4 linked regions of the Tamandua tetradactyla genome follow. The protein of the gene in region 2 interacts with the protein of the main gene of each other region in a pairwise test. Links are inferred from orthologs where the notes say so. Each region holds a gene or a part of one and is shown on either strand. Other genes may lie near its edges.

Region 1 (7,436 bases), on a different chromosome or scaffold from region 2:
AAAATATAGAAGTACCTGTTTTCAGGAATTCTTGGAGCCTGCTCTGGCCTTCGGGAGAGCAGTGTTACATTTGGCCTAGCTATAAAGACTGTGTGCACCTGTGTGCTATGTCTGCAAGATTTACCCAGCGCTCAGTCCTTTGTGGTTGTTATTCTACCCCAAACCATTAAAAGGGCCCTAATTCCTATGACATGATTATCCAGGTACCAAAGCCCATTTGTCACCTGCAGCAGAAAATTGAGTTAATGCACAACTAAAGGCAGCCAGGACTGTGTAATATCAACTTGATTACATCAAACTAGCTGCAAACCTAATTCTGCTGGATGACACTGCGTGGAGCTTGTCATCTCCAATCATTAAAGCTGTCAGGAATCCATCAGGTTTACAGCTAATTAGGTGAACACTAATGAAGCTGGCAAAACAACTTTTCTTTTTTTATGGCTGAGCGGACCTTTCAGTTTGGAGGGGAAAAAAAAAATTCTCCAGTATTCTCAAGGTTGCTGGGGACTGGGTTTCCAGTCACCAATCAGCAGACATCTTTCTTTTTCCCACTCTCTCTGTCTATCAGTACAAAGCAATCAATTTGTCATCACTCCCAGTATGCCACAAAAGCAGGCATGAACCTTATAACTTGCAGCTGTGTGAACTAAAAAAGGAGGAAAAAAATGGGAAGTTTCTTGTCTGTCCAAACAAAAAAACTCAGCTCACTTATTGGCCTGTGCATACTTATCCCCAGCCTAAATGTGGAGGGTTTTTCCCCCCTCCACTCTTCTTAAATAAGTAGCCCTTCAGTCATCTTCTACCCCTCCTCCACACATCCATTAGGCAGAGGCATTCTGATAAAGTAAATCCAAAACCAGGGTATGGGAAAGAAAGAAAGCACTCACGCTGCCAACTTCTGATTGACCATTAAGCTATTGATGAATGTGCCTGTCAGGAGAGAGACAATTAAATCAAATATGAAACAAAGTCGTTTTGACGGGTCATTTTGATAGAGCAAAACCATTCTTCCATCTCCTATTAGTTGTGCAGTCAAGTTTTTATATAATGAACATTTCTTAACTGACCTGAGATTTCCTGGCTGGCTTTTTCGAAGGTGCAGAAAGGTTACTGAACAGGTTGCTTTAAAAAACAAAACCAACAGTATGTTTCTTCCTTCTCTTAATATTTTTAGCAGAAACTTATCAGAGTTTCGTGTTGGCAGGGTGGAAGACGTACCACAGAGAGAGTTCTAAACCAAATGCAAAGATGTGATCACATATGGCTCACTTGATTGAGGCACACAGATACCTTAAAATGTATATCCAAAAAGGAAAGAAAAATCTCAAAGACTGGAAGAGGCCCAAGACCCTCCTACTGCCCAACTTTGCAAAGGATTCCTCCAAACTTTCAGAGTTTAATTTGTGCAGTTAAGTCTACTGCTTGAGCTTGGAATTTAAAGTAGAAGGTGGGTCAGGCAAGGAGCATCAGCCAGGAGGTGAGGTGGGAGGCGGTATTCTCTGTATGATCACTACTGGGATTTTCAGACTTTTCTAAATTTGGGCAAAACTGAGGACAGAGAGCAAAACCTGCATGACATATCCCACACCAAGTCTGTCTTCTTACATGATTTCCTAAAGACACAGAAAGGAAAATACATTTCTGAAAGGAGAAAGAATGTCATTCCCTTTCCCATGGCCCTGTTTAAGGAAACTATAGCCCAAAGTGCAGCCAATGTACGGAGATTACCATCACCATCACCATCACCATCACTGCCACTACAAGCACCCTCAAGGCATAGTGGTGCCACCTTCACCCCAGAAAGGCACCAGCCAAAGCTCTGATCCCTCCCTCCAGCCTCTCCTCTTCCACCAAAAGAAGAAAAGAGAAAAGAAAGGAACGTCTGCTTAACCCTCCAGTTCATGCAGCATCGTAACCTCTGCACAGCTGAGTGTTATTCATATCAAAATACATCACGTCCATATGTGGTCCTCTCGGCAATCTGCCCCAAATCCCCGAAGTTGCACTGACAGGGCCCTTGTGACGTCACAGAGCTTGGCCTCACTAGTGCCAGTGATTTATTGATGTTTATTGGGAATGAATAGATCAAAGGCAGAAGCATGACGGGCGATCAATCAGTCATCAAATCAAGGGTGGCAACGGGCCAGAAACCCTTCTTCCAGGCAACATGCCCCCAACCGACATTATTGCAAAATAATGTTGTGTGTGGGTTTTGTTTTGTTTTCAATAATGCTTTTTTACAGAATAGAAAAGAAAAAAAAAATCATCTCAGTCTTAACAGGAGTTGACACTCCTGGCAAAAGAGAGAGAGAAAAAAAGTACTCACACGTCCCAGAACTAAGTGCTTTGGGTGGGAGGGTGGGAGATGCAGCAGAGGGTGGAAAGAGAGGATGGAGGTAAGGGTAAACAAACGGGTGAAGGGGACGCCGGCATCTAACACTGACTGGACAAAATCATATGAAAATGCCCAGGCTCTCTGCGCTTTGGTTTCCACCGCTGTGCCCTGCTTGGGCCCAATAAATGAAGAATCAATTGGATTATCAGTAAAGGTGGCGAAAGGACCGGCTCGCTAAGCTCTCGCTCGGCAGGCACCCGGTGATCCCCCGCCGGCCGGCCAGGGGAGGACACGGAAGGTGTCCCAGGGAACTCAGGTGACCCCGCCCGCCCCCCACAGAAAGAGACGGACGGGGGCTCCTTTCCATCCGCTCCGCAGCCTGAGCGCTGAGGAGGCAGGGAGCCAAGCCGGCTCAGATCGCCCTGAGCGCGGTTTCCTGAAGTAGGTGAGAGAGGGAAGAGGACAGAGCTTAGCGGGGCGTCAGGGGGCCGCCGGGTACCCGAGCCCGGCGCACGCACCCAAGAGCAGAGCGGCGAGCGAGCGAGCCCGGCGCCCCGGAGTTACTCTGCGCCTGCAGAGGGAGAGGGACCAAGAGCCGGGCGAGAAGCCGGGTCGCCGCCGGCTGGAGGCGCGGGGCGAGGAGAGGAAGAGGAGGAGGAAGAGAGGAGGAAGGGGAAGCGGCTCGTACCTGCTGCGCGCCGGGGCGCCTGCTGCTTCCTCCTCGGCATGATGCTCCTCCGGCGACTGCCACTGCCGCCGCCGCCGCCGCTGCCGCCGCTGCCGGGCTGAGCAGAGGGAGGGAGGGGCGGCGGGCCCGCGGGGGGGGGGGGGCGAGGCGGGCCGGCTTTCAGGCTCCCCCCCGGAGAGGGGCCGCCCGCAGGATGCTGCTGCGCCCCGGCAATCCGCGTCCCCCCCTCTCCGCGCTCCGCCGCGAGCCCCGAACGTGCGGAGGGAAGGAGGGCGGGCGAGGGAGGCGCGGGAGGGAGGAGCGCGGGGGAGGAGAGGCGAGGGAGGAGGGGGTGGAGGAGGAGGAGGAGGACCGCGCTGCTGGCGGAATGGGAAGTTTGACAAATCGCTCCCGAGGCCGGAGGAGGAGGGGGCGGGGAGGAGTGCGGCCCTGCCCCCCCCCCCGCCCCGTCTCCAGACGAGGTGCGCGGGGTTCGGGGCTGGGGGGTGGGGAGAGGGAGAACAGGCGGGCAGAGGGGAGGGAGGAGGAGCGCGGGAGCGGCCCCGGCCGGCCCGGCCCTGGCCCCCTGCCCCGACCAGGGGGTCACGGCATCGGGGGGCGCGCAGTCGCCGCCGCGGCCCGGGGCTCAGCGGTCCAGTCTTCTGCCCGCGGCGCGGCTGGAGCGGCGGCGGCGGCAACAGGCAAGCTTAAAGGAAAAGGAGATGATCGTGTCACTCGCCCGCCCGCGGGGCGCCGCGCCCCCGTTCGCAGCCCCTGGCCCGCCCAGGACCCTCGCCCAGTCCCGGGAAGGGGTTCCGCCCCTCCGACCCGCCCCGTGTGCGCACACAGGGGCGCGGTGCTGGGACCGCCAAGCCAGTTCTAGAGCTCTCGCGACCCCCGCCCGCCCCGGGCCCCACCCGGCCTCGCCCCGGGGCCGCCCGGGGTTGCCCCGCCTGTCCTGCACTCCTCTCCACCCTTCGCGCCACCCGGGCAGGCCTGGGCCCTTAGGCGGGCGGGGCGACGGGTGGCGGGCGCCGGCCGGAGATGGTGGGGGCTGCTCCCAGACCCCGCTAGCGCCACCCCGGCTCCTCCCCCAGGACCCGCCGCAGCCACTTCCCCGATTTCTTTCCCGGGCAAACTTTCCCGGGCCGGTCCCGGGGGTTTGTGTGGGAGGGGTGCCTCCAAGTTTCCTCTCCTGACTTTGGGCAGATCGCGGTGGCTTCACCCCGCCCCTCGTCCCCAGTCGCGGGGCTGCATCTCCCCCCCACAACACACACACACCCGGACGCAGGAAGATGCGGGGGCGGGACGGGGCGGGGAGAGAACTCTGGACCCCAGGCCCAGAACCCCGCTCAGACCACCCGAGAAGGGTCTGCCGAGCGGTGCCCCTGCGCCCGGCCAGGTGCCAGTGAGGGGCGAGGGGCATTGATTATTGATTAGGTAATTGGGGTCGCCGAGGCGCCGGGCCGGCGGTCCGCAAGGAGGAGGAGCTGGCGGGGCCGACTTGGCCGCGGGGTCACGCGGGCTCACTCACGGGCGGTGGCGAGGGCGCGGGTGGGCCAGAGCTTAAGGGGGCGACCCCCGGGCCGCCGCGGTGGAGCCGGAGCCCTAGCCGGAGTTGCGCCGGCGGCGGCGCATCGATGCGCTGCGGGCTCGATTGCGTCTCCCTGGGCCAGTTCTCGGGCCGGGAATTGGGGCGGCCGCGGCGGGGCCGGCTCGGGGCGCTGCCGGGCGGCGGTGGCGCCGGCGGTGGCGGGAGCACGGGGGCTGCCGCTTGGCCCACCATCCCCGAGGTGGCCCTGCGCCCGGGCGCGCTGGCGGGGCCCCTGGCCCTTCCATGGGCCCCACGGCCGACAGTCCCAGCGAGGACCAGTGCGGCTCGCCCCGGGACTGACTGCCCGAGCGCTCCTGGTGCCGCTGACCCCAGCCTTCTTCCTTCCTTTCTTTCGGTTTTTTCTTTTCTTATGTGTCCTCCCTTTTCAGCCTCCTACCCCTTCTTCTTCTGCCCTTTTTCCTCTTTCTTTTTTGCTTTTTGGCTGTTTTGGCAAGTTTGTTTTAAAAGTTCACGGGCATGCTTTCTTTTCTTTTAGAGAAGGCGACCATGATCCCGCCCTGACGGTAAGATAAAAAGTCTCCGCTCGCCAGCAGCCCGCGGGCCTGGGCTCCGGGCAGGCGCCTCCCTGGCTGCGGATGGGCGGCCGCGGGCCTCCAACCTATAAGGCCGGCCTCCGCGCCTTCGCGCGCAGGAGCGCTCAGAGCTGCAGGCGGCGGACTCCCAGCTGGGCGGGGAACGGGTGGCAGGCTGCGATCGCGTTCCAGGGCAGGCCCGGGGTCGGCCTTGGGTTTGGGGGCACTTCGCGCGCTTGATATCTGCGGCCGCAGAGTCAGAGCGGCGGCCGCTCCAGGCCGGGAGACTAGCGGCCGTAGGGGCGTGAAACGCTTCTTGCGAGCGAGGAAACGGTGAGTGGGCAGACGCCGCCAGCCGCCTCGCCGTTCGGGTGGCCGCGCTCTTGTCGCGCCTAGCGGCTTTCCCCGGAGGAGAGAGGATGCCGCGCGGGGTCAGCTCCCGACCACCCCTGGCCGGCCCTGGATGTGCCCAGCGCCCACCTCGGCGCGCCGCTTTGCGGCTCGTGCCTAAGCGCTGGGCGCCGCTTATGGAAGCCTGGGGCTTTCGCCCAGGCTCGCGCTCTCCCTCCTCCTTTCCGTCTCCTCACTGCTCTCCCAACCCCTGTTTCCTCCGCCCCCCTCCCCTGCCGGTCGCGGCCTGAGCCCTGGTCCCCGAGTCCGTCGCCCCCGCCGGATCGCTGCCTCGCCCTCCCCAGCTCCGGCGCCCAGCGCCGTGCTATCCTCCCTAACATCTGTCCGTCCAACCATTGGCGCATCCATCAGTGTCGCGGCGATAGTCCTGTCACGCACAACACGGTCTATGCGGAGCGCACACCACGACCATGCCGCCTTGCCCAGACACACAAACAGGGTGCCCACCCGTTGGCACAACCTGGAACCTTGATCTCTACAGTGTTCTTTTAGTCACACGCATGCTCTTTAATATCCGGGCCCCAAACGTGAATCATTTTGAAGGCCATTTTAGGAATGAGACAGATGGAGGGAAGGGCATAGACCTATTCCACCAGGTTCCTTCTGCTCTCCTTCCGCAGGAAGGGAGACATCTAAAATCCACACCACGGACAGTGTAGATCCAAAAACTGCCTGAATGCGGGGGCTTAAAAGCATTTCAGCTTGGCCGCGGCTGGTGTTGTCGAGGTCGCTAGGCAGGGCTCGCACTCAAACTTTGCCAGGCCCGGTCTGGCAGCTGGTGACATGACCTGATGGGGAGGAGCAGTAGGGGAAGGAAGACGCGGACTTCTCTGCCTGATTTCCAGTGAGGACCAGGGTCTCCACTTAGGGAGAAATTGGGTCCTGGTGGCAGCAAGTCTGCAATTCACATGTTATTTACTGAAGGAGACCGGACGGGGAGGTATCTTTAGGGAACCAGAGACTAACCGGGAGTTCCGGGCGCTCAGACTCTTGAGAGTAGTGATCCTTCTGCTTGTGCTCCTTGCCTTACCTTACCGCCCCTTGCCCTACCTGTCCCTTGGGTAAACATATGCACATATGTTTCTGATCAATCCACTGGCCCGAAGGGCTTTGCTTGTCCTTCTCCAAGTACATCAGGAGGCCCGGCAAGGGCGCCCTAGGGGCCTGCACCTCGGACATCTGCGGGCCGCCGGTACCAGCATTTTCCCTGACTTTATTCCTCATGTAAATATTTCTGTCCGGGTGCCTGATGTGTTCTGTACCTCAGGATCGACTACACGGGAGGGTCAGAGCCCGCGCGGCTATTCCTTACGCACTACACGAGTTAGAAAGGAATCCACAAGCGCTTTCTGGCTGAGCGCGGAGGTCTGCGCGGTGCCAGAGGAGGCCAGAGACTGCCGCGGAGCCGCTGGCTGGGCGCCTTCCTGCGGGAAGAAGAGCACCGCGCGCTCTAGGGTGCAGGCTTCGCCCAACGCAGCCGGCGGCCGAACGGTCTTCATTCTAGACTACAGAGCGAAGAAGCCCGCACCCGGCGGCGGAGCTAGAATTCTGTAGAAGACGCACTGTGTAGAAATCTCTTACTCCACTCTGAAGAGTTCCAGATAGCTTTTGAAAAGCACCAACAAACCGCGTCCCCCTCGCAGGGACCGGGTGACTTTTTATCCCGTGTGAGTCACACTGAAGAGTAAACTCCTAAGTTCGTAAGATGCCCCCACCTCTTGGCCGTCCCGCGCTTCTGGAATTAATTTTTTTTTAATTCCTAAAATTAAGCAGTAGAAAAATAGGCTGAGGGTCATTGGAACGACTCATTGAAATGTTCAGTGGCAGACGCCCGTAGGGGAAACTGGCGTTGCTATGTAGCTGGGGTTTAACTTTTAAGCACCAGAACCTTGCCAA
Region 2 (7,661 bases):
GGGTATGCTTTGGAGCTCCCTGTAAGATTGGCTGAAGCTCTGTTGGGCTGGCATCACAGTCCAGCTTCTCCCTGTGTCCAGTCCTTGTCCCTTTTCCTTCCCACAGGCACTGACCCTTAATAAATAGCCTGCTGTTGGGTAGACCAGTCTCCCGCCCAAGTGACTATCATGACTTGCAACCACCACTCCACTGGCTCTTCCTCAGTCCTCCTACTGGCATTGCAGCAGTTTGCAGTTGCATAAGGCAGATGCCTCTGCCCTCTCTCTGCGACCTTCGCCTGCTCCTTGGTCTGGTTAAGTCCCCCATAGCAGACTCTGTTGATGCTGTGCCCCCACCTCCTTGGCTGCCTTCCAGCTGCAGCTTTAATGAGCAAAACACTGGTTGCTGGGAGTCAAGTTGACAATGCTCTGCCTCGAGGAAGCTGCCAGGGTCATCCTTCTTTTCTGCCTCAAGGCTTTCTTTAAAGCCCTGGGTGCTCGGAAGCATAGGGGAGTAGACACCCCAAAGGTGATTCCCAACATGCTCATACCCCCATCCTAGAAATGACAGTTCTGGGAGGGCTTTTTTAAGTGTCTCAGAGACCCAGCGGTACTGAGTGTCTGCTGTGTACAGCAGGGACCTGTGTCCCACACTTTTTTTTTGGGGGCGGGGGCATGGGCAGACTCTGGGAATCGAACCCGGGTCTCTGGCATGGCAGCGAGAATTCTGCCATTGAGCCACCGCTGCACCGCCCTGTGTCCCACACCCTTATGTTGTTTTTTCCAAACTTCCTTCTCTTGATTTCTGTATTTCATTGTGGCTGCTTCTGGGATCACCTCCCGAAATAAACTCTGTCCCTGAGTCCTTCCATCAGGTTCTGCTCTGGGAAGGGAGACCCTAAACTAAAATGCCAGTTGATCACATTTTATTTTTTCATCAAAATACATTTCTACTCTTCTCTTCACAGTTTCTAGATGCAAACATACCCAGAGATTAAAGTGGGCTTTGTCTCGGAACAGCTGGAAACAAGAGGCGACTTTGCCAGCTGGACCTCTGAGAAGCAGAGGCCAGGAAGAATTTAGATGATCAAAACATGTACTGGAGAAAACACCTGGGAAGGACAGCAGGAAGGGAGAAGCAGCTTGGCTTGTAAGTGGGTAGGGCCATCAGACTGGCGAGGTCTGACACCTGAGAAAGGACAGGGGAAGGAAGGAAGATGGTGTAGGAAGCCGGTCAGGCAGTCCTGCAGTCCTGAGTGAAGCTGGTAGGGCTGTGAGGAGCTTTTGGGCAAGAGCTGCGGGTCAGAGTTCTGCACTGGGCACAAACGGGCCAGCTTTAGTCCTCCCCCCAGGCTCAGGTGTTGGCTGGGAACAGCTGGGGGGTGGAGGGGGCGCGTGACCCCCCCCACCACAGTGCCTTGGTGGGCCCGGAGGTGTGAGCCCTGGAGGCTGCTGGTTCATTACGTGCCTGTAGTTTGGGGAGCACACCTCCAGGGTGGCCACAGAGACAGCCATTTCCACATTTTAAATCGAGGTACTGCACCATCTTTGTGGGATTTGCTAAGTAAGGGTCTTGCCACCTTCAGCCCAAGTTTAAGAAAATGAGACAAGGTTCAAGGAGGTTGGATGTGGGAATTCGCTGGAAAGAGTCCAGAGTGTTGGGAAGAGGTGGGAGGACCCACCCAGTTCACGCAGACAGGGTTTATTGTACCTGAGCCAGTGATCCTGGGAATCAGCGGAGGTTAAGTGATTCCTTGCCATTTGTGTTCTGGAGAACAGCTTTCTGCAAAGAGCCCCCCGTCCCCCTATTACTCAGAAAAGACTCAGGGATGCCCCCCTGATTTACCTATGACAAACCAGATGCAGACCCTCCAAACTCCCGTCCTTTGCCTCCTAAATGTCGCCACTCCACTGGGCAATCAGGACAAAATGCTTATAACCAAACTGCTGAGGTGTCTCTCCTTCCTCCAGACCCTTAAACTTTCAGGGCACCTCCCAGTAAATAGGCTGCCCCGACATAAAATATTCTTGGAACACTCTCTGATCCCGTCACCCTTTCACCCCACCACCCTACACCCAGTTCTTTCCTTCCTATCAAAGAAAACCTCCTTTTCCCTCAGTCCTGAGATGCTTGCAGACCTCATGGTCGGGTGTTCTCCCTATTGCAATAGCCCTTCCCCCTTTAAAATCATCTTTCCAAATAGGGTCTCTCCTTACCAGGTCAGGATTTGATTTTTATTTGGCAGTGCAAAGAAAGGTGGGATTCTTGGGAACTAGCTGGAGAGTTTGGTAGGTATCTCCTGGAGTTCGGGGACATATATTAACCTTGACTCCTACGTGAAATGCTTCAAGGAGAGAGGCTGGTGGAGGCTGTCTGTGACCACAGAATGAGGAGAGGATCCTGCAGGAGCAGTGGTCTGCACCTCTAGAATTTGATAGGCAAAATTCCAGGGGATTTCTGCGGGCTGCAGCAGACATGGCGGGAGGGGGCTGGGTCTGAACCATTTCTGCCTCCCAGGACACAGAGCCCCCAGAAGGCCCTGTGAGGTGGACCACTAGACAGAGAAGCTGCGGTGGGACTCGGAGTAGTCAGCAGCAGGCTAGGAGGCAGGTGGGTTCCCACCCCCACCAGCCCACCTCCTGGAGGAGCGAGGCTGCCTGGAGCCGGGGTGGGGGTGGGGTAGAGGTAGAGCAAGGTTGGTCTTCCCCACAGCTGCCTTCAGAATGTGGGTCCTCTGGGTGCTGACAGGTGGTGGGAGGGGAGTGGGGAAGCTGCAGTTGGAGGAGATTGGAGTTTTGATTTGGATTGGACTGGACTTTTTAATACCAGAGAACCAAACTCGCTATTCACAGCTGAAATGACAGATAAAGCTATGAAATCTGCCCTAGATTCTTCCAGAGAAGCAGGGAGATCCGATAGAATGAACTTAAAACACAGCAGTGTGGGGGCAAAATCAAATGGTATTTCGAGATTTCCCTTCACCAAGTCCAGCTTGTTCAAAAAAATTAGCCGATATAAGATACTGTTTAACAGAGTAGTTTGAGAAAAAGATCCCCATTAAAAGACACAGAAACCTAAATAGTGCAAGAAACTAGCACCATCATTTCATTTTTGTAATAACAACTCTTTAGTACATTGTCATTTCACCTAACATTTTTGAACCCTAGCATTTTTAAACAGCTCAGCTGTTCTCTGGTCTCACTTGCCCTGTCAAGTCTTTCAGGAGCCCTGCTTAGGGGAGAGGAAGGTGGGACCCCAAGGTCTTCGGAAAATATTAACTGATGGATTTATTCATACGATCTGTCAAGGCTGACGGATCCCTCTCTCAGTGTTAGGCACACTTGGTGCTTATTCAACACAGAAATAAAGACCTGATTCTATAAAGCAACATTTGCCTTTTAGGCAAACAGTTTCAAGACCGACTTTGGGCTCCATCTGAGAGTTCTTCCCGATGCGTCGCCCAATTCTTCTCGCTGTACATAATTCCAAGAACGCCAGTCCTGGAAGTCGCTGCCCTGTTGCCCTGTTAGCCAGCTTTTCAGTCATTTTAAACCCATTTTAGCCATTTAAAGTGTACTTTGGTGGTGGTAATTACAAATGCTGTGGCACCATCAACACCATCCATTACCAAGAATTTTGTACGCCCTCAAGCACTGCTACCCAGAAAGCATTAAGTCCCTTCCTTCCTCCCTCACCCCCATCTACTTTCTGTCTCTATGTATTTGTTTATTAAAGATATTTCATAGAAACGGAATCACACATTTGTCTTTTTGTGCCTGGCTTATTTCACTCAACATGGTGTCTTCCAGCTCATCCCCGTTGTCCCCCGTCTCAGCACTTCATTCCTTTGGACGGCTGAGTGGTATTCCCCAGCGGGCACACACCTTCCGTTTGTCCATCTGCGGGTGGACATTTGGGTTGCTGCCACCTTTTGCCTTGGGTGAACCGACGTGCTGTGACCTCGGCGTAAGGTATCTGTCCCAGTGTCCCCCCTCCCCTCGGTCTCACTCCTCCTTCCCCTCGGGTCTCCCGAAGCCGGGGTCTGGCGGGGGCTGAGCGGGGCCGCGCCCACGGGCCCCCCGCGAGCGGGAGCCGGCGGTGTCGCGGGTGCGGGCGCTGGCGGCCGGCAGAGGGCGCTCGGCTCTCCCCTCGGCGGCGGCGCGGGGCGCGGGGCGCGGGGTGCGGGCGGGCAGGCGCGCGCCGCGGGGCGGCCGGAGGCGCCGGGGGCTCGGCGGTGCGTGGGGGCGGCCGGGAGGGGGTGCGCGCGCCTCCGCCCGCCCGCGCGCGGCTGTCAGCGGGGACCGCACGTCGCGAGCCGGGAGGGGCGCGCCGGGGCTCGGGCTCCGCCGCCGCCGGCCCCGCGGCTCGTCTTTGTCCGGCGGCCGCGGCCGCGCCGTGGAGCTCCCGGGCGTGCGGCCGGCGGCCCCGCTGCCCTCCCCCGCGGACCCCCAGCGCCGAGCGGGGGCGGCGGCCCGGGCGGGGCCTGCGCCGAGGTGAGTGCGGGGGCGGGGGCTGCGGGGCGCTCCCGGCGCAGCCCGGGCGGGGCGGGCGGAGGTGACAGTCTCGCGGCCGCGCTCTCCAGGTGCCGTGGCGTCCCCCGCGCCGCCACCTGCGCCGCCCCGCGGGTCTCTCTGCCAAGTTTGTCGATCCCCCGGGGCTGAAATCCTTGGCGGAGCCGCGGAGCGCAGACCTCGGGGTCGCTGGAAAACTCGAGCTGGGGAGGAGGAGGAGGAGGAGGAAGCGCCCTGGAGCCTGGCCCGGGGTGAGAGGGTGCTCGCGGGCAGCGGCGGCCGCTCGGACCTTCCCCGGGCTCTTTCCCACGCAGGTGAGCGAACCCGGGGCACGCTCGGCAGGGGGCCGTCTGGGCGCTGCAGCTGCCCCGGAAGCCCCGCGAGACAGGTGGCCGGAGTGCGGGGCAGCGCCGCACTGGTTTGGCTTTTCGGTCCCGAGGGCACTTTCTCTCCCCTGCCCAGGTCACCTGCTCGGGCCGGGGTGTCGCAGCCTTTCGGGCACCTTCGCGTGCCGCCAGGTTAGACATCCCTGCTGTAGAGGGGAGGGGAGGTTCGTGAAACCGAGTGCCACCTTCCCCCAGCCTTGGAAAATCGGGGCTGTGAATTCGTCTTATTTTAGTATGAAATGTGCTATTTCCTGCGAGCTTTATAATGGCAAGCTCTGTAAAGGACCAAGCGGCTTGCTACCTCCATTTTTCATTCTGAGCCTGTGCACAGAAGGAATTTCAGGCACACAAGTGATGTTACTACCAGTCTATTTTAAATACAAACACGGAAAGAAGTGCTCTTGGCAGGAGACCAAAGGCGCCTGTACTCTGTTATATAAGTGCTTTCAAAAAAATATTTGCTCGGTGGTTAAGTTATAAAAGTCATTCCCAGAGCGTGGAATAAGAGAGGGTGAGAATAAGTCAGAATCATGGTTTCTGCTTTAAACCAAAACTTTACTGGAAGATAAGCGTGCACTTAGCTGGAAGACACCCTTTTAAGATAACATGGGCCCTTTCTAATAAATCATTGGGTAGAATTGCAAAGCATTAAAAAGCAAAATAGGTTTTGTAAATGCTGTTATGAAATTTGGTTAGGAGTCTTTACTACTGATAGTGATAAGAGGGATCCTACAGCTGTCCTTTATGGGTTTCAGACTTCTGAAAGATTTTGTTTTGATCTCTGATGAAAACTTAGTAATTGGGAGTTACCAGTTATAGAGACCTTCCTCCCTCCACCTCCTCAGCAAAGCCTCTAACTCTTATTTTTGGCTACTTTTTTTTTTGGGTAAGAGGAAGCCCAAAGTAGAAATCATCATATATAGCCATGTCTGGGCCCCTTCTTTCTGATAGTCTGTTCTGATTGCTTTTTGGTGGTGCCTGGGCATCTGTGATGTTAAAAGCTTGCCTGTGCTTCTCCGGGCAGCCTGTGTTGAGAGCTACGGAGAATATTATTTCATTTATCACTTTGTCAGCCAAGGCGTGGCTGCCCTGGTTTAAGAAAAGTCAGACATAAGCAGTCCAAAATACGGCGAGAGAAAAGTATTGGAAAAGAGATATGCTGATGAATTATAGCATGTGCACTTTCGTATTTTGTCTAAATAATCTTTCTTAAATTTTTTTTTTTAAACACTGCAAAGAATAGTTTTTATCAGGGACCCAGACTTCCCTGGGGATTACTTACCGGAATCCTGAGCGGAACATTTCATTGTGCAGGGGTAACAGGGAATGTTGAGTAGTAGTGTCAAGATGTTCTTTTATGCTTACGTGATGAAATATTCAGGGCTTATTAAAGACGATTTTCTCTAGCAAATTTAAAGCCTTATGTTCATATAGACCAATAAATTAAGTCACAAAGAGCTTTCATTGTTTTTAAGACCAGAAGTAAAGCTGGCTGCTAAGTCAGTGTTTTCTGTCTACTTCATGTATAATGTCCGAATCTGGGAGCATATCTTATAGATGGCTTCTGGTTGAAATATCTATCTGATTTTGAAGGCTTATGTAAGAACTGCGACTGTGTTTTGGCTATTACATAACTGACACAGAGCTAGATCGCTAGTCAAAAGAGGGGAAGGGTGCACAGCCCAGGCCAGCCCATGCAGTTGTATAATGAATTGCTGCTGCCAAATTAAAGGGAACAGCGGCGATGGTGGTTTGTGAACGAGAGATAAGAATAGTATCCAGAGGACTGATGCAATAGAAAACTGTTATGCTTAGTGGTTTTCTAGAGATTTTAGTGCTGCAGTAAAAACTGCTGTCGTCCTTTCTGTCTTCCAGCAGAGGTGGATTGAGTGGGAAGCTGATGAAGCTTAAGCTTTGGGGCCCCTCACCTAGAATTCCTCCTGCGAGGAGCACCAGCAACGTGTCCACGTGGCCAAACCTAATTCTGTAGGTGCACTTTTGCATTCTGTTTAAAGAAGGACTATACCACACCTCTTCCCTAGTATGTAAACCTCAGGCTCCACAAATCTTGAGTCTCCATTTCTTGCCAATGTTAAGCTCACCCATAAAGTTGCCTTTCCTTATTTTAACTTTTGTAGCCTTGTGAAAAGACAGTTAAAGAGGTATTGCAGTTGACCAGGTGAGGAAATGCAGATTGCTGTGTCCCGGGGCTGGGGGGTGGCAGGGAGTCAGTGGTTATGTGGGGAACCGGCCCTCCGCCTTGCTGTCTCAGGAACGGCACTTTTCCTGGATCTGAGTGTGAGCTGAAGCTTAGAAAAACCCGGATGGGAGCAGGGTGGGGAGAAAGTGGGTTAAAGCACTTGCATATCTCAAGGTGGGCTGCCAAGGAAGGGGACACCTCTTTAATAGGAGTTGATAGGAACAGCTAATGTCAGCTCCACAGAAGATCTTTTTGGGATCTGTCTCTGATAGGAATTTTAAACTGTGAGTGAACAAACTCAGACCTGGAGAAGAACCTGCAGGAAACCAGTGCAGGTTGGGAAGGACTGGACGAGTCGTCTGGTTGTCCCCATTAGCAGATGTGGTGAGTAAATAGGAGCCTCACTGTGTCCACCACAGGAATGTCTGCAGAAAAGGGTTGAGGATTTTCCCTTTATCTCTGACACGATTTCAACGTTCACACCTGAATTCAGGTATCTTCAGACCTTAATATCTTGACCCCTCCCGCACCAACCCATTTGCCTCATCCCTCCATCCACCCATCCGTTTATCATCCGTCCATCT
Region 3 (7,394 bases), on a different chromosome or scaffold from region 2:
AGCCTGTTCTTCACTATCAATGGCAAGAACTTCCATTTAATCTTTACAACCTCTTCCCCTATCAAGTTTCCACAGTTGCTTCAAATCTAAATCCCTACCCTTTCTTTAGGACTCTGTTATATCTAAAAGATTTACTTTTGTCTGACGGTACTATTTCTGCCCTTGATTTTCGCAGTAGACTTCCTAATCAGAGCCAAAAATAGCTATGTAAAATTTTGAAGCTATAGAAAATGTCCCAAAAGAAAAAAGGAAAAAAAAAAAAGCAACTTCCATGGGAAGACTATGGGAATGAGTGAAATATGCACAGTATATGTTTTCTTAAAGGCATTCTGAATATATAGATGTTTCTATTATTTTAGGGTCAAAACATGTAGTATAATAATTTTGGTTGCTCAGGATATATTTCTACATTTAATGATGAGAAATTCACTTTTCAATTCTGTCCCATTATATGTTTCAAGGAAAACTAAAGTTATCTTAAAGTTTTCAGAAATACTAAGCTAAGCTTTCAAAACTTCAGTTAGTAGTTTACTCCCCTTGACTTGCACTCAAGCTAGACAAGTAAATTATTTTTCATGACTAGAAAAAATTTACATAGACGATTGATTGCCTGGTTTCCAAAACATCTGCTGCGTCTAAAAAAAACTTAATATATTTTCTCTTAGATAGTATAAATGTTAAATTACCTCAACAGTAAGTTTAGCAAAACGAGTCTGAAGAAATCCAGAAGCAACCATAAATAGCAACTTCTAAAAAATGGGAGCAGCTTAATTTGTTCTTCCATCTAACATCACTATTTAATTCAAATTTTACCTTTCAGTGTTAACATGGGTTTTAGAAAAACGCATCCAAGAGCAACAGTGAGAGATCGCAGCCCTAAGTAACTAGTTTAGTCCTAGATAGGATTTATCCAGAGTTGTCCACAGACTTGTGAAAGTGGAGGAACAACATTTTGGTATAAACCTAGATATCCTACCAACAGGCATTACGTGTAGTGCTGCTGATGGAAAGCCTATTTGGAAGCTAGGACATCTATGTTAGAGTCTTACCTCCAATCTTGGTTGGCTGTGTAATGGATAAGTAATCGAAACACTGTAAAAAGCCTCAAATCCTCATCTACGTTAAGGATAATGCTAAACAAGATGATCTCTTAGATTCTTTTCAGGGATAATTCTATCTTTATCATTCTTACCACTTCCATTACATCTACTATGGGGATTTCATCCATGCATCAAACATTTACTAAGCACCTATTTTATCACGGGGATAGACACCGTTCCTTCCCTCATGGAGTTCAAATTTTAATTATCCCATTGGTGTATTAGAAAATGCATAGTTAAAGCTAAGTTTAGACTTAGTAACAGGACAAACAAGAATGATTTTACGTGACTGTTTATTCATAAATGATGTATTTATGAATTAGTATGAAACTCTCCACATTTGACATTTTCCATAAAATAAGAATACTATCAAGATATTTTGGTTAATGAGAATATATTAGACCTGCCACTGACATAATATCCTTTAAATAAAACCAACGCATTTGGGAAACATTTCTAGGCAGCAAAAATAAGGCTTATACAAACCAAAACGGTATGATCAAGTTAGTTGGGGGAGGGTGGAGTGTGGTGGAGAATCTCAGTCCAATCTCTATCATGAACACATGGTTGAATAACAGCAGCCTGTGCTGATCCATTCTTGTCAACTTTTAATCCTTCTGACTGATGAGAAGCATGAGACATCTGCTTATTTTTAAGTACATGCTGGCTCCTGGCTTCCTTACTTCCATCTTTCTTTGTAGAATTGTACAGAATTCATCAAATGTTTAAGAACAGAACATAGGATATAACGTTAGGTCCCCCGGGGCTAAAATGATGACCCAGGTGACCATACTGACCTCAAGAAAATTAAATCCTAGGAGTGAGATAAAAAATGGACAAATGACAGAAATACAAGGCAAAACGTGGTGCTACAGTATCCCAAACTACATGTACTAAATATTGTGTTTCCTGATGGGGGGAAAAGGGAGGAAGGGATATAACATTGACTCAGCATAACAAGTGCCAGGCACTGTGCAGGTAGTTTTTCACTTACTTTTCTCCAGAACTCGACACAGGAAAATATCCCAAACTGATTATTCACAATAGGAGAAATCTACTTCCCAGTACAAACTGATCCCAACAGCCTAGGAGTGGATCCTAACGTAAATGCACGGTTGATGTAAATATCTACCCACTCTTAGAATCTCAGTATTTGGAACTGGAAGGGGCTTTCCATCTCTCCTAGGCAACCCACTCATCCTGATAAGAGGCAGGCCTGGGGGCTCGACTCCGGTCATCCTTGTTCAGTGGCAGAGCTGGGATCAAATCAGTAATCAAGACATTCATGTATCACTCAGCTCGTAAAGTGGAGTGAAATTTGGTGATTCATTTTAGCTCCTAAGTTACTGAATCACCCGTCTAGTCACACTTCTATTAAAACAATCATTAAAAAGCTGTACAAAAGGCCGAGAGTCCTCAAAGAATCATTTTTCACTTTCAACGTAATATTTCAAAAACCTACTGGAACGCAGTAACCTCGGTTTGAACATTTGCCTCCTTTCCGCAGACGCCGGGCGTAAAGCGCCGTGCGCGCTTCTGCGAGGAGAATCAGGTGCCGAGGCGAAGATCCCCCCCGACAGAGCCCCGCGCGGGCGACCCCGGGCTCTCGGCGAGCCACGCGGGCGCACGCAGGGTGCGTGGGCAGGAACGTGCTCCTGCGCTCCCGGCCGCCGCCTCCCGCGCCGGTTCCGAACGCGCCCCCGGCCGGACCGTTACCGGGCCCCGCGCGGGCCGCCCCTCCCCCACCGCGGCCTGAGGCGGCGGAGCCCGGCCCTGCCTCCGCGGCACCCCGCGCGAACAATGCCAGGGGTCCCCCTCGCGGGCGAACGCCCAGGCGCCGCGCCGCCCCAGGCCTCGCAGAGCGCGTCGGGCCGCAGGCCGCGGGAGACAAACCCGAGGTGAGGGAGAAGAGAGGAGGCGGCCGTTCAGGGGTCCCCGAGGCCGCCGTGCCCCGGCCCGTACCTGGCTCCAGGTGATGAACTCGTTGGTGTGGGCCTCCTCTACGAGAGTCCACAGCTTGCTGAGGAAAGCCGGCACGTTCGAACTCTGCTTCATTGTTAACGAGGCGCAGGGATTCCGAATTCTAGCCCCGAACGCGGCGGCGGCAGCGGCAGCTGCTCGCCGAGAACGCCCACCACGCAGGCGCAGCGGCGCGCGGGCCCCGCCCCCTCCCCCACCCACTGCCGGCCGCGGCAGGCGCGCGGGGAGGCCCGGCTGCCACACGTGACGGACAAGTCTCAGCGCTGGACCCGCGTATATCGGTCCCCCGCCAGTCCGGTTCCTGGCCAATCCCAGGAGCCGATCGCGGCGACACCGTAAAGCGATTGGGTGTCGCAGACGTAAAGGGGTGGGAGCAGAAGGGGGCGCTGCCTGCTCGTTCGCCTTTTATAAGGAGCGCTTCGCGTAGCGGACCTCAGGTTTAGGGGGCTGGTTGGTTGCCTCTCGTGGGGACAGCTTTGGGTTCCCGGGCTGTGGCTGCGATCCTGTGAAAACTCCCTAAAGGGCCTTTGAGTCATAAGTTTGGCAGGCAAAGTGTGGTTTGCACCACGGGAGGCAGTAGTTTCAGCATGATGTGCTAGGCCCCAAATGGAAACAGTCCTAAAAATAATGAACCTTGTCCTCGTCCTTAATTTTTCATTGGGAGGAAGTGGCTCCTTTAAAATGTTTATTTAAAAAAAAAAACTCATTCATTGCTAAGCAGCTATTATTATGAGCCAGGAGCTGTCATAAGCATCTTGTATTTTTTCCATTCAGCAAACTTCCAGAGCTCACTGTAGCTCGGCGTGGAAAGAAATAGCCTCATTCATACTATTGTAGTCAATTAAAAAAAAAAGTTCCTGTATATATATTACAGGTATACTTTTGCTTGTTTGAGGTAGTTTGGTTTAATGGAAAGATGTTGAACAAGAAGTCTGCAGATCTGAATGTCAGACCCAGCTTTGTGTATACTAAATTACCCTGGTGTGTAATTCAGAGCAGTCTCTTAATCTATCTGGCCCAGTCTACCCCATCTCTTCATTGGGAATAAGAATATTTGTTCTTTCAACCTTATTAGTGACTTTAATAGCCTAATAGATGTGAAATGCTTTGAAAATACCAAGTATTCTACCAAATTATACTTTAAAAAGTCAGCATGGAAATATAAGAATTTACAAACCAGTCAGGGATGATAGTTAACATTTTGTAAAATATTCAACAAAGGATTGTTTTACTTTCTGGGTACATGTAAATGTGTTAAAAATAAAATTTGTACATCTTCTGATGAATTTTTCCATCAACCACTAATTATTTATTGAATATTGCCTTTGTATTCAGCACTGGTCTGTTTTCTGAAGCAAAAATCATGTGTGTCAAGGAGAGGGGAATGTAAGAACTAATATTTCATAAGTGCCTATATATGCCAGGGCTTTACATATATTATTTCATTTCATCCTCACAGTAACCCAATAAGCTAGATCTTACTATCCATTTTTTCCAGTGAACATTCTGGCTCCAAAGTGAATTAATTTGCCTGTAAGGCATTTTGAGCATGGTCTATCTATGGTGGGCAATGGCTAGATTGGTAATCTGGGTGGGTGGTTAGAGCTGCTTTTAGCCTACTTGTATGGCTTTATCTATTAAATTCCATCTAAAGAAAAGTTGTGGGTTGATGCAGGCAGAAATCACTCGTTCCGCTTTTGTAGTACAAAATTGTACTACGAGATGTACGTACAAGATTGTATGTTGTAGATCTCCTCGATCTGTGCAGTCATATAGAGCTCCATGTGTAGTAGCACCCTGCACTTGGTTTAGTGCTTTTATCACCACCTAGAAATTCTCAATTTTTGAACAAGGGTCCCTGCATTTTCACTTCACACTTGGCCCTGCAAAATTGTGATATCCTCTAGACCAGTGATTCTCTTAAGCATGCATCTGGATTGTTTGGAGATGGCAGATGGCCAATAAATAAATTAACAAGTGACACAGGTAGTTTTTTAATACTCATAAGACTAACTAAGAGCATAAGTTATTAACCAGATAAGGAAGCCATGGCTCTGGGAAATTAAACGACATGTTCAAAACCACATGGTTGATGTGCTAGTTTGAAAGTGATGTAACCCCAGAAAAGCCTTGTTCTTCTAATCCTGATTCAATACTGTGGAGTGTAACCTTTTGATTAAGTTGTCCCCATAGAGTTGTGACACACCCAAATATGGGTGTGACCTTTTGATTAGAGATGTGACCTCACCCATTCAAGGTGGGCCTTGTTTAGTTTATTGGAGTCCTTTTAAGAGAGGAACATTTTGGAGAGAGCTCAGAGCTGACATAGACAGAGACATTTGGAGATGCAGAAAGAAAATGTCCCCAGGGAAGCTGTTTGAAACCAGAAGTCAAAGGACCAGCAACGGCCAGCCACGTGCCTTCCCAGCTAGCAGAGGTGTTCCAGACCCCATTGGCCTTTCTTGAGTCAATGTATCTTTCTCTGGATGCCTTAGTTTGAACATTTTTATGGCCTTAGGACTGTAGACTTAATAAATCCCCTTTATAAAAGCCAACCCATTTCTGATATATTGCATTCTGGTAGCATAAGCAAACTAAAAGAGCTTAGGTAGGAACTGAAACCATATCTTTCTTAGTTTAAATCATACGCTTTTTTCCTTTACACCAGTGAGTCTCAAATTTTATCCTACATGAGGATCACCTTTAGGCCTCCCTCTTACCTCCAAGTTTCTGATTCAGTACAGAATATTAAATTTTTCCATACAGAAAATTAAATTTTTCAGTACAGAAAATTAAAAATAATTTGCGTTTTTAACAAGTTCCTAGGTAATGTAAGTGCTGCTAGCTCCTGGGATACCTATAAGAACCGCTATTACAGAGACAAAATTAGTTAACTGACCTTTTCTTGCTAGCATGTACAGACTTGTTACCTCTTAACAAAATCTAGACATTCCAGGAATAATTGTAACCACCTACTGTTTCATTTTTCTGTGTACTTAATTCTTAACTTTTATTCTAATTAATAACATGTTCTGAAAACTTTATTTACTAGAGACATGTTTGGGGAAAAGAAAATAATTTATTGGCTTTTTCTTATTTGTAAAACTGAAAGGGTAAGAAAAACAAGTCAACCTTTTTATTTCACAAATATTTGTCACCTAAAATGTTCCACAAATATCAGAAGAAACAGATCTGAGGCAGTGCCGACAGTTTTGAAATGTTTAAAATATTAGAGGGTAAAAGTATCAGTTTCTTAAAGTGAGTTATCTTCTATTAACTCCAAAGAAAAATATTGGACTATTTCCATGGGTCATTTGCATGGAGTTTAAGATTTAGAAAATTTAAAATAATGTTAGAAAACACAAGTGACCTAGGCCTTTGCCCAAGAAATAGAAAAACATATTATGGAGCAAGGTGATGCTTTAAAGCAGCTGATTCAGATTGCTATAAATTCCATCCAATCAGTTATGTCAAATTTAGAATCAGTAGTGCAACTAGAATCAGTTTTTTAAGATTATTTTCAAGGCTGGGATGATTGAACTAATGGTAAACTCATAGAACTTTCCGCCTACATTCCTATCTGGACATAGTGTTCTCTTTCCTCAATTCTGGAATGACCTAGAAGAATTTAGGCAAGCCACTTAGCATCTCTGAGCCCTAGTCCCTTATATATAAAATGTTAATTAAAATATCTGCTGTAATTACTTCACAGGATGGTTGTCAGGATCAAATAAATAGCTTCTTTCTCCGCTTCACCCTCACAATCTCTACAGATATTTTTCTATAAGTCTGAAAAGGTCACTTGCAGACTTAAAACCTTTCAGTGGTTTCCCGTAATTTTCAGAACAAACCCAACCCCCTTAGCATGGCATAAAAGGTTTTCTGTTATCTTTGCCCCACCTACTATCCCAGTCAAGGCCTACCATTCATTACAAACACCTCACAGTTAGCCACACCCAATTGCTTGATGACCAGGCTCTTTTACACTTCTGTGTACTTCTACAAGCTGTTGCTTCTAGCTGGAGAGCCTTATCCCTACCCACTTCCACCTCAAGTTTCTCCTTAACCACCTCAAGTACAGTCTATGCAGAGGTCACCTCTTTTGGAAAATCTTCCCAGGTGACCTTTATTACAGCACTTACCACATCTTATTGTAATGATTTGTTTACATGTATTTTCTTATACTAAAGTATGAAACTTTAACGTAAAGACTATGTCATATTTATGTTTATTTCTATCTACTTATCTATAATGGCTATCAGACAGCCTGGTACAACTTATTGAATTAATCAATGAATATATGAACAGAACTAG
Region 4 (7,974 bases), on a different chromosome or scaffold from region 2:
AAGTTGAGGAAGCCAGTGTTGCTCAGCTGATCAGTGAATAAGGCTGTTTTTTTTTTTTTTTTAAAGTAAGCTCAGTATTGAGTTAGTTGCCAATCAAGGGAGAAACACGTCACATGGTACTCCACTGAATTTTCTGAGAAACTTAAAAAAGCGCAAGCTATGCTATTTATTTATCTCCACCATTTCATCTGTTAAACAGTATGAGTGGGGAAAAGAAAGATTTCTTAATTACTTTTGTAAAACCTGGATTTTTCCTCAAGGCATGCTTTAGACATGAAACCTGGTATTTTGGTAAACTTTGGGCAAATTAAGCCTGAAAATAGTTACCAAGAATTGCTTTCATTTACTCATTCTCAGCCTCCCACTGCAAAGTGCTTGAGATAACTGAAAGGCAGCAGAAAGCGAAAAGGAAGCTCACTTTTTAAAAAGCTGAGTATATGAATGAACAGAAAATAAAAGTTAACAAGTTCCTGGAGAACATGGAAAGCATTTTAAACGTTCACAACAAAAATTTAAATGGGATTTTCAAACTCTCAGAAATCTCAGTAAACCTTTGAACTGTCTTGAAAACTTACTGAATTTCCGAATTCATAATTTATCATGTATAATTATCAAACAGATTTTAACCCTTTAAAAAGTAAAAGTTTCTTTCCGGGAAAAATGTTCTGTATTTCTCCCATCATTTAATAAAACATTTGGTAGATTATATTCATAAATATATTCTTATCAGTGTTCTAAATTTTACACATTCAGGTCAGCATCCTATTTTTACACAGGGACTGTTTATGAATCAAATAACATGACAGACATAAAATCCCTTGATGACAAAATTACATGGTAACATCCTCAAGCTTGAAATACTAATGGTGCCAATTATTTTGCATAGCACTACGTTAAATAATAAATATATGTGAAAGTTTCAACAGGAAAACTACTCACCACCATCCCTCTCTCTAACTCTGTGAGTATGCACGTTTTTGGCCTTACTGTGACCTGTGCTGTCACTGTATTTGTTTTCAGGACTATCAGATCTCCGCAACATTTTATTTGGTGGTGAAGGATCTGCGGCGTCTCGCATCTTTTCATGTCTGTGATCACCACTACTGGGGTGACTCTTCGATGAATACTTAAGTGCCTGTAAAACATCACCCCCCCAAAAAGAAAGAGAAAGAATTGAAACTTCAAACTCTCTAAATTGATTAAACTCTAAAACTTGGTGTACTGAGCTTTATGAGTTTATGTAACAAAATTAAAATTCCCATTTTGAATTCTGCCCTTAAGTTAGTGAGGCAAGTCCCAAATGCTGACAAGTTATTATAAGGCTCCTGATATAAACCATAATATCAAATGAAAAAAAGAAAAAGAAAAAAATTCACTCCATTTTGTAAATACAAGAAACCAAACACCTTGGCACATACATTCCTTAATAAATTTTTCTGGGAGTTAATGTTTGAAATCCTTTTTTGCAAACTTAATCCAAAGAAAACTAGAAACTCAGTAATACTGTAATTAACTTCTGCTCTACAACTGCGTATCTTCATATAAAAGGCTCCTGATATAAACCATAATATCAAATAAAAAAAAAGAAAAAAATTCACTCCATTTTGTAAATACAAGTGTTTTTAACTTGAGCTTTAACAAGTCTTGATATCCAGTAACAGAACTGTTTCTCCAAGTGATTAGACTTAGAAACCACTTACACAACTTCTAGTGTCATCTGATAGTTGTCAACCATTTACCAGATGTCCCCCCCACTCCGGAAACCTCAGGCACACCTAACATAAATTTTTAAAACTTTACCAGTAACAACTGCAGTAACAAAAAAGAATTTACATACCATGAACCACATATTAGAGTGAATTATACAAGCATCCAAGGATCTTAATTTTTACAGTAACAAAAACTATCTTTCACATGTAAGACAATTACGTGCACTCAAAAGAAGTCAAATGCGGAGAAATAGTTCACAGCAGAATTCTGAGTTGAGTATCAACTGGCTCTCTCGTCCCAGGCCCTTGATCGAATTCTATTCCTTCTCATCAACTTCTAGTTCCCCAATACAACAGATGAACATGCCTCACAGCTTACAGCATCGATTCCTTCACACCCGAAGCATCAAGTCGGGTCTTCCTGGCTGCTAATGTTTTCTAATAAAAGTGAACTTTCTCCAGTCACCTGTCAAAATAAGTCACTAGGCCTCGTTGGAGAGCGCTCCCGGAACCAAACACAACATTTTATGAGGGCCCCGCGGTGCTAGTTTCGGATTTGCAGCACTGAAAGGCCTGTAGCGACTTCTGAAGCCTGCGCTCGAGTAGCAGTCCCTCCCCCTCCCCCTCCAACCCCTCCACCCCGGCCTCGGCTGGTACCTGGAAAGGCTGCGAGTCCCCCCTCCGGTCGTGACAGCTGAAAAACAGGAAGAGAGGCGGCGACATGAGACATTGAGGGGGGAGGACGGGAAAACGCGGGCCCCGGCCGCCCCTCCCCGCGGGCGACCTACCAGGCGGGCCCAGCGGGCAGCCCCGCACACTCGCACGCTCCCGCCCGCCCCGAGGAGGCGACGCGAGCTGGCCGCAGCCCTCCAGGCAGCTCCCGCACACGCGCCCGGCCCCCGCTCCCGCCGCCGCGCCTCCTCCAGCCCGAGCCGGAACAGGGTTAACAACAAAAATGGCGGCTCGGCCAGCTCCCGATAAGGAGGAACAGCCCCCCCGCGCCGCCGCCGCCCCCCGCCGCCCGGCCCGAAACGAAAAGACAATTTACCCATCACTGAGTCTCTGCTGTTTCCTCGCATACATTACCATCAATGCCCGGCCTGTGAGTGTGTGGCGGGGAGGGGGGACAGCAGCCGCGAGAGGCGGGCGGGCGGCGGGGCGCCGGCACCAGGGCCCGGCGCGCCCTCGGCGAGTCTCAGCACCTCCCCGTTACTGGAGCCGGCGCTCCCGGGCCATCTCCCTCCGCCACCACGCTCACTCTCGGCCCGGCCGGCGGCGCCAACTACACGGCGGCAGCGGCGAAACGGGGGGAGGGGGGCACCCAGACGCGTCCGGCTCAGCCCCGCGGAGAGCGAGTGCCTGCTCCGCCTTCCCCTCCTCCTGCTCCGCCGCCTCCTCTCCTCCTCCCCCCGCCGCCGCCGCCGCCGCCTGGTCCCTCTCCGCCTCCTCCTCCTCCTCCTCCTCCTCCTCCTCCCGCCGCCACCGCCGCTGGTGCCGCCGCTGCCGCTCCACCAACTACATCCGGGCAACTCGGACGAGGCCACCTTCGGCAAGCATCGGCAGTTTCCGCCTCGCTCCTCCTCTCCCGCCCTCTCCTCCCGCCCCTCCTCGCGCGGCTCCGAATACCGCCTTCGGCAAACCTCGGCTCACTTCGGTCTTCCTCTTCCTGCCGGGCCTGGCTCGCCTGCTCGGACCCGACGGGCTCCTTCCGTTTGCTGTTCCTTTCGTTCGCGCGGACGTCGGTGCCAGCGTCCCTGCTCGGGGCTGATCTTGCTGAGGGACTTGCTAGAGGCCGTTTGTAGGGGCTCCGGGATGTGCAGTCAGCGAGCCGCCTTAGAGAGGAGGGCGGCGGGGCGCGGCGGAAGCCAACGCAGACTGAGGGAGGCCGTTGCGGCGCGCCTGCGCCCCGCGGCGGGCGCGGGGAATGGCGGGTGACCTTGGGCGAGCCCTCGGGCCGCCAGCCTCTTCCCTCCGGGTTCGGGGTGTGGGGTGGTCGAAGACCCCTCGGTGAGGCGAGTGGAGGGCGGTTACCAGCAGCTTTCTTTGTTTGCAGCCCTGGGAAGCGGCTCTTAGGGAAGCGAGGCCTCTATAGAAACGAGGCCTGGGCGCCTGGCTCACGCCGGACGCGGAGCGCAAGACCCGCGCCGGGCCTGGGGCTTTTACTACCACGCTCGTCGGCATTTGAGAAGTAAGTCACACACCCAGAAGCATAAAGGAAAGAAAGCTTTCTAAGTGAGAACTGGCAAAAGTGAAAGAGTTTATGGGTATTGAACAGATTGTGAGAAGGCTGTGTGTCTGCGCGGCTGTACGGTGGGGATTCCTGGATCGAGGAGGGAGAACCACTTTGGGCAGTTAATTAAGAAATTGGATTAAACTGAGATTCGGGGAAGGGCTGTTTGGAAAAAGCGTTGAGCCACGTCATTTTAAAAGATATTTTCCATCTCGGGCCTGGGAAATTGGCTGTGCCCTCCCCTCACTCTCTCCTTTCTTTGTTTCCCATTTTACTCTTTTCTAATGTCTCTTCCTCGATAAGTTCTTTGGCGAATTAAAATGCATTTGTAAATTCCGTGCTAATTAAAAATGTAACAGATTTTTGTGTGTCATTATAGGCATAATAGCAACATTGGTAAGTGGGGAGCGGGGAGTGTCGAACAGATACGCCAAAACAACAAAATGTACTTGAGGGCGGTGCCATTTAGGTGATTTTTTTTTCCTGTTAACTTCTTGTTAGGCGATCATGCAGCATTGATTTAACATGAAGGATTGTAATAAACATAAAGTAAAAATACAACCATTATTTATAGTATATAGGAAAACAAAGCAAACTGGGAAACAAGAGACATTCCTCAAAAAAAAACATATCAAAAACTAACTGAATTGGTTGCTAACAGCTTAAATTATCGTTGGGCCTAATGAGATGGATGATGGAGAAAATGACCCTGAACTCTCAACTGATTGAAAAAAATAATTATATAGCCTTATTAAATCCATCTACCAAATGTTGAAGTTGTTGCTGTTTAAGAACTGGAGAAAGTCTACTTAATGCTCACATAAACTGAGTAATTAAGACAAAAGCTGCCCGTGACTGAAATAGCTACCAGTCCTCGATTAAAAAAAAAACAAAATCAGTTCAATAGTAAAGTCTTTTGTACACTTTTGAAACAAATACATCGAGGGCAGGGGACATCAGATTAGAATACAAACGTGATTTATTTTATGATAGTCAAATGTCTTTTGCTGATAATGCTATATGAACAAGAGCACTGGTCTGAGCTATGGGGAAAACGTGTTCCTCACTGTTACGCCCATTTTTTTAAAAGCTCATCCCATTGCTCAACTTAGAGTCCATTATCTTTTCTTATGAATCCTTCCTTGCAGATATTCCCTACTCCTTTCACCCCTCTTCCTCTACCTTACGTGTCTATACCACAGTCCTAGTTAATTACTACATATCTAGGAGAGCAGTTGAACTGGACAAAAACACACAGCTAAACTGACTCTGAAGTAAATCTCTTCATGCTCCTCAGCCTTCAGGCTACATTTCCCTAATCCATTCACTTTATTCTTCTTTCTAACTGTTTCACATCTAAGACTGCCAGTGTCATTCCTCAATGGTGTCACTGGTAGCTAACTAATTATTTTGCATTTTTCTGAGAACAGAAGGAATCAAAGCAATAAAAACTTCCACCTGCTTTAACCATCGTATCTATCAGCCTTACTCCATTTGAATCCATATGTAGTACTGCACTGTCACCCTCAAAAATGATAGATAAACTAAGTTTCTATCTAAAACCAAACTTCCGCTTTGTATCGACTTCCATTTCATTCTTTATCAATTTTTTTCTCAAATGGATCACTTCTATCAACTTAAAACATGCTGTCGTACTTACCATCCTCAAACAAAAGCTCAGCCTGTATCTTTTTCCAGATACTGTGCCATTTCTCTGCTCTCCTTTACAAAGAAACTTCATTTCTACTTCCAATATTACATTGTTCTGTATCCACAACAGTCAGACTTCATTCTTACATGCCATTTACTCAAGATAATCAATACCTTCCATGTTCTCAAATCCAATTTTCATTTTTCAGCCTTCATCTCACTTAGCAGTGATTGACAGAGCTGATAGATTAACTCCCTCCTTCCTGAAACTCCATACTTAGCTGCCAGGGTACTACTATTCTAATTTCTTTTCTTTCCTACTGGCTGTTCCTTAGAGTCCTTGTCTAACCCTCCCCTAGGGTTAAACTTCCACAATATGATCTGCCTCTCTTCCCTGTACTCTCTCCCTAGGCAGTCCCATCATCTGTAACTGGATGGGACCCATGTTTGAGTCTCTAGCCCAGATCTTTTAAATACCTACCTGTCTATTCTAGTTGATTGCCCAGTGGGCATCTCCACTTCATATCTGCAGAACCACACTCTTTAATTCTTCCCCAAAACAAGTTCTGCTCAAGTTTTTCCAATCTCAAGACCTGTCAGATCCATTCTTCCAGTTGAGGCTAAAATATTTTGTCATCCTTGATTCTTTCGTACTTCACATAGACTCCATTAGCAAAGCCTGACAGCATCACCTCCAGAATATATCCAGAATCTGATCTCTTTTCACAAGCCACCATCGTTTTTTACCTGAACCTATAGCAGTGGTCTCTTAAATGAGCTCGTCCTTCTTCCCTTGCTTCTGTTTTCTCCCAGGGCAGTCAGAGTGGGCTCGTTAAGTCACGTATCATTTCTGCCTTAAAACCCACCAATTGTTTCTCATCTCACTCAGAATAAAGGCCAGAGTTTTTTGCAATTACCTGCAAGGCCCTGTGTATATTGCTTCCACTGGCATTACCTCCAGTAACTTGCTTATTCTGCCTCTGTCAACTCTGTCCTTCTTGTTACTCCATACCAAACATGCCTCTGCCTCAGGATTTCTACAGTACTGCCTCTTTGCCTGTTATACTCCTCCCTTTTGTACCTGCTTGGCTCACTCCGTGTCTCTCTTCTAATCTCACCTTATCAGAGGTCTTTCCTGGTAACTATGTAAATGGCATTCCATCACCATCTCCCAAACCCTGCTGTATTTTTCTAGCAGCATTTACTGTCTAATTTGTTACATATTTTGCATACTGGTTTTCTCCCTTCCACTAGAATGAAAGCTTCATGTGTCGCCAGAGAAAGGCAAAGGGTTTAGGTTGTAGCTTCCAATCTTGGCTGTGCCTAGTGTCTATTATCTGAGGAGACTTAAAATTATATACTGTTTGGGAGATACAGAATTTACCTCTATTGCCAATTAATGATACAAAAAATGATGCCTACAGGATCTGTTACTACATAATTCACATTATTATCCCTGCCGAGAGGAATATAGCTTATATTCTAGATGTGTGATCGAGATATGCTTCCCTCCTATCATAAGCCAAATACGAGTTCATTCAATTAAGGAGGAAAAATAGGACAACTGCAACAAATAACTATTTAGGAAAGGACAGGAGAACCTCCAGGATACCGCCATATCCAATAAAAACCCATGATAGTCAAAATCATATGGATCCTCAGAAGATATAGGCAGTCTTACATTCTTTACCTAATTTTCACCCACTCCAAAAGGTTTTTCACATTTTCTTTTCCAACCTCACTACGCCCACCCTCATTCAGCAGATAATCTCACGACCTTCCAGACTAAACCTATCAAATGGAAATTTCTTCCTGCTTCCAAATATGCAGCCCTGCCTACCTCATCCTTCAGTCTACTCAACAGATATCTATTAAGTACTTGCTGTATGTTCTAGGCACTGTCTCTATCTATTAGGGATGCATCAGTGATTAATACAAGATATAGTTCTTTCCCTCTTGAAGCTTATATTCTGGTGGGAAAGAAATGCAATAAAATAACTGGTAAAGTGCCAATGTACTTAGAAAGTAGTAATTGCAATGGAGGATAGCAGAAAGTGATAGGAATGTTGGATTGAGGAGAAATATTTCAAATAGCATGGTCATTGAACAGGAAACATTTGCACAAAAACTTGAAAGTGACAAGGGAAGAACCGGTATGGGTACCAAGAGAGTTGTGTTCAAAAAACAGTGTGATTAAAGGGTGGTGTGTGAGCAGAAAAAGTATTAGGAAATGAAGCTAGGTAGGTTATAGCAGGAAGTGCAGAAGCAGATCACAAAGAATCTTGTAGGATTTTATAAGAATGTTGCGTTTTATTGAGTGCGATGGGAAGCCTTTGGAGGCTTATGAGTAGAGAAATGACACTGGCTGCTATATTGAGAATAGTA

The links.
Region 1: the proteins of MTUS2 (region 2) and TSHZ3 interact in binary tests that used the Homo sapiens proteins (3 or more experiments, as listed by UniProt). The two-hybrid records come from large-scale screens. The link is inferred for Tamandua tetradactyla from reciprocal best matches to the Homo sapiens genes MTUS2 and TSHZ3.
Region 3: the proteins of MTUS2 (region 2) and HSF2 interact in binary tests that used the Homo sapiens proteins (3 or more experiments, as listed by UniProt). The two-hybrid records come from large-scale screens. The link is inferred for Tamandua tetradactyla from reciprocal best matches to the Homo sapiens genes MTUS2 and HSF2.
Region 4: the proteins of MTUS2 (region 2) and WAC interact in binary tests that used the Homo sapiens proteins (3 or more experiments, as listed by UniProt). The two-hybrid records come from large-scale screens. The link is inferred for Tamandua tetradactyla from reciprocal best matches to the Homo sapiens genes MTUS2 and WAC.

The regions. Positions count from the first base shown.
Region 1 is NC_135342.1:35,719,168-35,726,603, reverse strand, and holds the start of TSHZ3 (teashirt homolog 3), read right to left. Parts: upstream 3,133-7,436; 5' UTR 3,064-3,132; coding exon 3,024-3,063; intron 1-3,023. UniProt on the Homo sapiens protein: Transcriptional regulator involved in developmental processes. Functions in association with APBB1, SET and HDAC factors as a transcriptional repressor, that inhibits the expression of CASP4.
Region 2 is NC_135330.1:194,043,754-194,051,414, forward strand, and holds the start of MTUS2 (microtubule-associated tumor suppressor candidate 2), read left to right. Parts: upstream 1-4,616; 5' UTR 4,617-4,805; intron 4,806-7,661. UniProt on the Homo sapiens protein: Binds microtubules. Together with MAPRE1 may target the microtubule depolymerase KIF2C to the plus-end of microtubules. May regulate the dynamics of microtubules at their growing distal tip.
Region 3 is NC_135331.1:183,475,210-183,482,603, reverse strand, and holds the start of HSF2 (heat shock factor protein 2), read right to left. Parts: upstream 3,243-7,394; 5' UTR 3,156-3,242; coding exon 3,063-3,155; intron 1-3,062. UniProt on the Homo sapiens protein: DNA-binding protein that specifically binds heat shock promoter elements (HSE) and activates transcription. In higher eukaryotes, HSF is unable to bind to the HSE unless the cells are heat shocked.
Region 4 is NC_135327.1:222,265,836-222,273,809, forward strand, and holds the start of WAC (WW domain-containing adapter protein with coiled-coil), read right to left. Parts: upstream 2,843-7,974; 5' UTR 2,812-2,842; coding exon of another isoform or gene 2,801-2,811; 5' UTR 2,799-2,800; coding exon 2,758-2,798; intron 2,404-2,757; coding exon 2,366-2,403; intron 1,153-2,365; coding exon 940-1,152; intron 1-939. Other genes in the region: uncharacterized protein LOC143682789, read left to right, coding at 2,801-2,811, 2,843-3,644.